Coturnix japonica: one gene and its partner. Each later gene encodes a partner of the first gene's protein in a complex. Links are inferred from orthologs where the notes say so. Each region holds a gene or a part of one and is shown on either strand. Other genes may lie near its edges.

Region 1 (3,820 bases):
GAGGAAGCACCTTCAGCACCTGAGGTATGGAGGTATGCTTTTATCAGTGTCAGAGGTACAGACTGCTCCTCTGCTAACAGAATTGCACTGTGACCCTGTCACATGAGGGATTTTCAGCACAGACGATGATTTAAACTCTAAATCTAATGGTTCTGAGGGACACCCTCAGCTCCCTATCCTCATCTGTCCAAAGCACCAGTGAGCAACATGTGGCATAAGCCACACCACCTACTAAAACTACTGAGTTCTCACCACGCTACAGGATTTTGCACTTTATCCTCAACAATTCCACATCTACAAGGTCTTAAAATCAACAAATGAATGAATGTCTCTGCAAGCGGGATGGGAACCTGCACAAATCAGCTCGGCTGCTATTTGGATGGCATTAAGGGAGAAAAGGAATATGTGTGGCTAATTTTGTCCCGCTGGTCTTTCTTTTTCCCTTGTTACTTTGTGCTGTTTGTACATGAAAGTGCTTTATTCAGTGCAGTGAAGCAGCTTTGGCAGACGTACCCTGATTTCTCAGGCGGGAGGCTCCCTGAAGTCAAAACACGCTCAAACAAAACTCTTGTGTTGTTGTCCTCTTTAAAAAGAGAAGGAAAAAAAAAAAAAGAGAAAGAAAGAAAAATCACTCTGAGTAAAACACATCACATTTCAGTGTGGATACTGCATTGAAGACTGACATTCTGATACCTTGATTTGTTTGTCAGTAATTGGAACAAAATCCAAACGTGGATACGATATATAGCGTATCTCAGTAACTTATTTGGGCCCTTCAGTTCATTACACCCCTTTTAAATGAGGGCAGTGTCTCTGTTGTATATTCCTCCATAGTTATTAGACCAGAAATTCTCAGTCCCCAACGAGCAGTGATGGAAAACTGAAGAAAGGCCTTGCGTTTATTCACAGAGACCTACAACAACTTCTTACATAACTACTGTCACTCTGACTTGAAATAAAACAGTCTTTATGCTTACAGGTGGCAGAAGAACAAAGATCTACCTACATTCAGCTCACAGAGGACACAGCCTACTGCTTCCTTGTGCATCTCAGTGTGTGAAGCTTACCATTAAGGTGAGACAGGTAGTCGATATATGCCAGTACGTATTCTGGAATGTCTCCGTATTTTTTCAGCCCCAGCTCAAAAATCTTAAAGGCCACAGATTTATCCTGCAAACGTTAAAAAGAAAAAGTTCCAAGCTTCAGTGAGACGCATGCTATCCCATGCTTCTTTAATAGCAAGCCGAGCACCTATACTTACCTTACTGCAGTAATACTCCATTAATGCTGCAGTGACGTAGACATGGTGGCGGGTCCGGGTGTCTTCTCTTGCCTTTTTAAATATCATTCTTCCAGATTTTATGCCTTCTGCTCGCCTTGCAAATTTCATGTATTGGATATAAACCTAGAAGGGAGCATATGAACACTAGCTGCAGTGATAACAAAGAGTGCTAGGATATGCGGTTTGTGGCTGGACCTGAAATAATCCTTACTCACAAATTACAGCTAACAGGTTGTCTAAGAAACAAACAGGACTGTCTTGTGTCTCTGTGTTGCTATGCTAAAAACGAGGCAGTATTTTCCATATACTGATTTGAAAAATGGAAAAGACCTCAGACCAATCCCCCAGAGTGACAACAGTTCATACACACATTCATACACACTTTCCTCAAGGCAGGGGAAGTAGATAAACGCGATTCCCATAAGCTTGTACCTCCTGAGAAAGAGGATTTCCTGTAGAAATAACAACTTTCCAAGAAGCAAAGACACCCACAGGGCTAAAGAACAGGCAAAAAGCCCATGGAAGCCTTTTATTCTTCATTATGGAACCCAAGACACAGGTTGTGCTGTCTGCAAATAGCTACACCTGATCAAAATGTAAAGAATGTCCTATCTAATTTCATGGGTTAATCCCGTCATTTGCATTTCTTGCTCCACTCACAATTAGATCACAAATAACTGCATTCCTCCAATGGGAGGGGCTGCTCTGTGCCTTCTCAGAGTACACATGTAAGGAAAGCTTTGTAATCTTTGCTTAATGAATAGAATACGTCAGTAAATGGATACCTTTCCTCTGGCACCAACCTGCTTAATTTTAGACCTCAGACCTTTTTATTTCTGCTTTGTCACATCTATATTACAAACTAAGTCAGTTAGGTTAGCTCTCAGCCTATTTGCTCTGTACCAGCACAGCTGGCGCTGGGAACAAAGCTGTTACAGCACAACAAAGGTAGATGCACAGCAATACACCTTGATAGCTACGTGGTGAACTACAATTTTCTTGGCAAGCTTATTTATAAACAGAATAATATATTTCTCTAAGAAAGGCAAGAGACGAAAGCGACGTGCTTTTAGTCTGTTCAGGGGAGGCAAAGGGAGATTTTAGCTGCACCAATTCTTAGGAGCTTTCTTATAAAACGTGACACCTCCATAATTTATTTGAAGAGATTGTCCAAAAGACACAGAGGATAAAAGTGTGCGTGACTTGGTGTGTCTGGATGGGTGACAGCCTGAAGTTACCAAAGCAGCTGAAATTCTAATCCAGTTTTGCCATCTCAGCACTCCACCTGCTCAGCTCTCCTTGTGACCCAAAGAACTCAGGTCAGTGTGGTGGGTGTACTCAGGTGGAGATGCAAATGTGGAAGAACCCAATACAGGAGATCATCTTACCAGAGTGGGATCGATGTCTTCAATAGCCAAGAGCCGGTTATAGATGCTGTGCACTTTCTCATACTTCATTCGACTCTAAAAGCACATAAAAGGGAAATACAGACTGCTTAGTAACACTGCTACAAACCACCTGTGGGGATGCAAAGATCAGTATGAAGTAAAGAAAAAGAGCCCATACTCAAGGCTGCCCTGAAAGCCAAGGGAGCCTTTTTCTTTAAGGCTGAAGATTTGTTTGCTGTTATGCTCCATTTCTTCCTGCAAAGACTCTCAAGGCACAATAAGTGGGCAGAATACACCCCACTGTGGATGCATTGGTCCTCATCTGATCGATGGGACGTCTCTTATCCTATTTTGTAAGTGAAGAAACTGATGCTCTGGTAAATGTAAACTACTCAGTTCATTTTTCAAACTGCTGTGAAGCTGAAGAGTTAACATTGAAGCAGAAAGACATTACGCTTTCAAAACAATTAACACTATTTTCTCCCCATTTCGCCTGCCTAGTCTCAGAATCATTGGATGAAAGTCAGAAGAATCAGTAAGTAAAATGCTCAGATTGTCTATTTGGTATGTTTCAGGAATACAACCATATCGAAGACAGATATCTGTGGGTTTTATGGCACTACTGCACTCTTTGCTCACCTCTTCATAATCTGCATACGCAAAATAGAGAAGCATATTCTTCTTTAGTAAAGTGCTGATGGCTCTCTCATAAATATTAGCAGCCTCATCGCTGAAAAGTTTAGCATTGTTCATGTCCTGTTATAAAATAAACACGACAATAGTTCAACGCCTGCAGCCCGCCCATGGATCAGCTCTTCTACACAACAAGTTCCACTGAGCGCCCTCATAAGGAGTCACTCATCTCCCCGGTACGGAAGGAATCAGAAACAAACCCCAACCTTAAACCAGACAACTCCACAGCAGGTTATTGTAATTCATATCACCCAGATTCAGGGTTGTTTTGTTGTTTTTACATTAAAATAGCTCCATATTTAAAAATACAGAATGCAACAAAACTTCAGATGCTCGAGATTTTTCATCCCCCCCCCCCCCCCCCCTTGGATATCAATTGAGAAAACATTAATAACGATACACCGTGTTAAAGCAATTAAACAAGGGAAAAATAAAAAGCTATCAGCATTCTCCTTAC
Region 2 (3,920 bases), on another chromosome or scaffold:
CTTATTCCCAAATGTGAATCTGAAAAGCACTGTACCACACTATGCTGCAGATGGAATGCATAAAGGGTCTCTTAAAGCTACAGAGACCAGATAATAAACCTCATCTATAAGAACATGCAATGAATTTCCAAACGTACAGAAGTTTTAAGCACACATTTCTTGCTGCTCTGTACTTGTAATGAACACAGTAAGATCTGGGAAACTCCGACTATCAGACACAACAGGTAGAAGAAACAATGAGACTGTTTTTAAATTCAAAGTGTCTCAATTCCTGTCTAACAGACTGATGGAATGAGAACTCCTAAATGAAGCACATTTACATTTCCGACATACATATATGAAGAAAATCAACGTTACAAGTTTCTCAGAGGAGTTACTAAAGGGACTCTATAGCCAGGTTACTCTCATTTCCATATGCTGCAGCACTGCCACATTGAATAGCTTCAGTATGAATATTCCTTGAATTTACTTTAAAGATTACACTTAAGATAAATTGTAAAGAAGACGAGATTTCAAGTCTGAACTTTAATATCAGAACTAGAACACCATTTCTTCAATTCATCTAAACAATTTAAAACCACGTTTCAAATTCTTATGGCACAAAACCGGCTCAGAACCAGAGGCCCACTTGGCCAACTGAGGGAAAGAAACTGAAAGATATAAAAGAGCTTCAAAGCGTGAATCGGAACCGAAGATGGCTTAAGGCTTCATTAAAACATTCGCCGAGTTCTACCGTCGCTCGTGTAATCCATTCTTTAAACAGACTTTAGGGGGATTGCACAGATACAATGCAGAGCAAAACCGGCTCACACTGCCCAGTTTGAGCAAGATTTAGTCACATTATCTTTCACAGGATTCAGAAAGACAGGAGAATAAGTTTAATCCTTCCTGCAAGGATCATTTTATTCCACACCCCAACTCCTTGAGTAAAATCAGAGATGACTTTAAAAAAAAAAAATTAATGCCACGCACACTAATAAAAAAAATTAGCGTGGGGCAAAACTTCAGTTTCAGTATTTCAATATTTTTCTGCCCTCTGACAGAATCAGAAACACAAAACAAAAACCAGACACAGCGTAGCTCTCACTTAGGCATCTGTTGGCAGTACAATCAATAGAAGATGATATAAGGAATCTGGATAATCATTCTTTTATAAAGGTGTCCTTAATCTGTTGTTGACCTTCTGTACCAAAATCTAGCCCTGTAGTCATCACTGCAGGTCATGAAGCCGGGGTTGGTGGGAGAATGGACAATACAGCGGACAATGCTGTTGTGCCCAAGAGAAAGGAGATTTCTTCGCTCAGCAGTTCTCGAATCCCAGCAGCAGAGACTTATGGTCCTTTCATCTGGCAGCAGCACGTAGTCTTCCGTGTGGTTGAAGACTGCTTGTGTCCTGTGCACCTGACGTCCACTCAAACCAGCTCCTGAATACGTGAAGTAAAATACAAACCAAATAAGATCACTTTTAGTTTTTCTCCCCAATGACCCAAAAACACAGATTCTCATTATCGTTAATAACTTCTGGTTTTAACATGCAGGCCACCTAACGTGCCTCATGATGTACTTCAGCCACACCTCTACCTCTCCCTTCAAAGAGAATCTGTTTCCCATTTACACATTTATGTTGCAAGGAATACACTGCTGCATCCCACCGGGTATTTGCAAGTCTTTATCGAGGAGGTGCTGCACCCTGCTGGTTGGCAGCAAACACAGCCAGTGCACAAGGACTGCACACATCCTAACAGTGATATCCGGTTCTTTTCCACCAGCACCCACTCTACAGTCGTGTTATGACCCCAGATGTTAAGCACATGACTGTTTTATCCGAAAGCTAACCCCAGTCATGTAACTCATTGCTCAAGTTAAATAGGTTGACACTGACACAGCTTTTCTTCTGGAAGTATTGTACATTTTCAACTTTTGGGGCCATTTATCCTCACAAAAGCAGTCTCTCCTTATGAGTAACAGCAGTAACATCTCATTCTTCATACACCACCTGCTCACTGGCCAGCACGTGATAAAGGTCCCTGGAAGGTCAGCTGCCACGTACCTGTGTACTTGACCAGCGTCCGACCAGTAGATATCTCCCACAGTTTAGCTACAGAGTCTTTTCCACTTGACAAGATATACTTGGAATTTTTGGAGAAAATCGCAGAACAGACTTCAGCTCCATCATGTGCCTTCTCAAAAGTAGTGATACAGCGATTTGAAACACCATCCCACAGTTTGATGCATCCATCCTTACTGCCCGTCACGTACATGTTTGCACTGGCGTTGTAATTGACTGAACATATGGCATCGATGTGCTGATCTTGAGGATTGCAAGACACAAAACACTGGAAAGTATTGATATCATAGAGTCGTAAAGTAGGGTGCTGGGTACCCACAAGTATGAAATCTCCAGAAGGATGGAAAGAGATTGAGCGCAACATCTCTGCTTCCTGTTTGATCAAAAAATACATAATTGGTGTCAGTTGAAAAAGAAAAAGCAAAAATTGAAGTGGCAATCCTGGTGGCACTAAAATGCTAAAAAATAAACTACATTATCAATCAGCACATGCTCTATTTCTGCAGAATAGAAAACACCCTGTGTATTATTTGTCAGGTCACACTGAAATGTACCATAGTTTTTGCCCTAGAGCAGCTTGCTGTGCCCATCCATCAGATAGTGTACAACAGCAGCAGGTTTTGTCAGCCACCACATAATCACAAACTTGTCTCCAGAACCAAGAAAATGCAGCTGACTTCAGAGTCATCCATATTAGATCCATGAGATTCTAAGACTACACCTATAGGTATAGCTATCCATTATGCACAAACTCACAATGCATTACTAGCAGGTCTGCCCATTTTGTAGCTGCATACTCCTATGTACCCAACCACTTGCATACCCTGATGCAATTCAGCTCACTGACACCTCAATAATCACACATTCAAGATTTGGTTGCTCTGAATTGGATGACTGTATCTAACCTGTATGTATTTGAAGGCTCTTTTGGCAGAAGGTTTTGAATAGTCAAACAATTTAAGTGTGTAGTCCCTTGAACCAGATGCTAGGATCTGTTCTGTCGGATGAAAAGCTAAACATGTAACTTCATCCACATGATCATACAGAGTCCGAATAACAGGGTGATTTTCCATGTTTTGCTGTGCTGTCTCATTCATCATGACCTACAAAGAACATTGAACAAGTTAGAGTTAGAAGGCAGAACACTCCTTTGACAGGGAACGTACTATTTTCACTTGCATGAGTGATTATATCACTACCTTTTCTGACATATGACTTGGTACGTTATCACTTATCTTAATTATCTGAAGACGTGATACCTTTATACAGTTATGAATTCTTATGAAATAACATCCCAGTATCTTTACAAAAGTACTGCAGGGAATCACAGAATGACCCGGGTTGGAAGGGACCTCAAGGATCATGTAGTAAATCTGGTGTGCATTCAGTGGAAAAAAATAACAAGAACTCAAGACAAACCCAAAAAAACCCCTTCAACTGTTGGCAGATAAGCATGCTAGAGAAAAAGTAAAGGAAGCAAATATGTGCTCTGTGAAACAGTACTGAAACAGCCACTGTGAACTTGGAAGGTCAGATATGAAGGTAGATTCATAACCAAACTGTTTGCATGGTAATAGAGATTATCAACATCTATTAGAAGCAATTTCTGGCTCAGCTCTCTAGAATGCTGCAAGGTGACACAGGTACACTTGCTCCGTGTCTTCTACCTGTTCTTCAAGGGTACTTTATAAGCCATTGTTGGAATAGGAAATACACTGAGACAGATATTTAGTCCAACCCACTGAGCCAGCCACAAGGCACAGACATGGCACGAAACAGAGACATCAGCTCAAGAATTCACACAGTGACTATGATTCAAGTCATATTTTACCTCTATGGGCATAGCGCTTTT

What was found.
Region 2: the proteins of CSTF3 (region 1) and CSTF1 are in contact, whole or in part, in a crystal structure (PDB 6B3X), measured with the Homo sapiens proteins. The link is inferred for Coturnix japonica from reciprocal best matches to the Homo sapiens genes CSTF3 and CSTF1. Residues at the interface, in NP_001317.1 of Homo sapiens: Tyr581, Pro582, Lys583, Pro584, Asp585, Thr586, Gln588, Met589, Ile590, Pro591, Phe592, Pro594; in NP_001028693.1 of Homo sapiens: Arg118, Glu216, Ala217, His226, Pro227, Ser228, Asp230, Phe231, Thr240, Arg242, Leu243, Tyr244, Cys251, Phe252, Val253, Ser254, Cys255, Tyr270, Ser272, Ser273, Ala274, Asn275, Gly291, Val292, Ser293, Asn294.

Annotation. Positions count from the first base shown.
Region 1 is NC_029520.1:4,222,061-4,225,880, reverse strand, and holds part of CSTF3 (cleavage stimulation factor subunit 3), read right to left. Parts: intron 3,427-3,820; coding exon 3,310-3,426; intron 2,746-3,309; coding exon 2,671-2,745; intron 1,406-2,670; coding exon 1,262-1,405; intron 1,171-1,261; coding exon 1,068-1,170; exon of another isoform or gene 698-1,067; intron 584-697; coding exon 514-583; intron 1-513. UniProt on the Homo sapiens protein: One of the multiple factors required for polyadenylation and 3'-end cleavage of mammalian pre-mRNAs.
Region 2 is NC_029535.1:10,848,650-10,852,569, forward strand, and holds the end of CSTF1 (cleavage stimulation factor subunit 1), read right to left. Parts: coding exon 3,900-3,920; intron 3,172-3,899; coding exon 2,974-3,171; intron 2,442-2,973; coding exon 2,051-2,441; intron 1,425-2,050; coding exon 1,165-1,424; 3' UTR 511-1,164; downstream 1-510. UniProt on the Homo sapiens protein: One of the multiple factors required for polyadenylation and 3'-end cleavage of mammalian pre-mRNAs. May be responsible for the interaction of CSTF with other factors to form a stable complex on the pre-mRNA.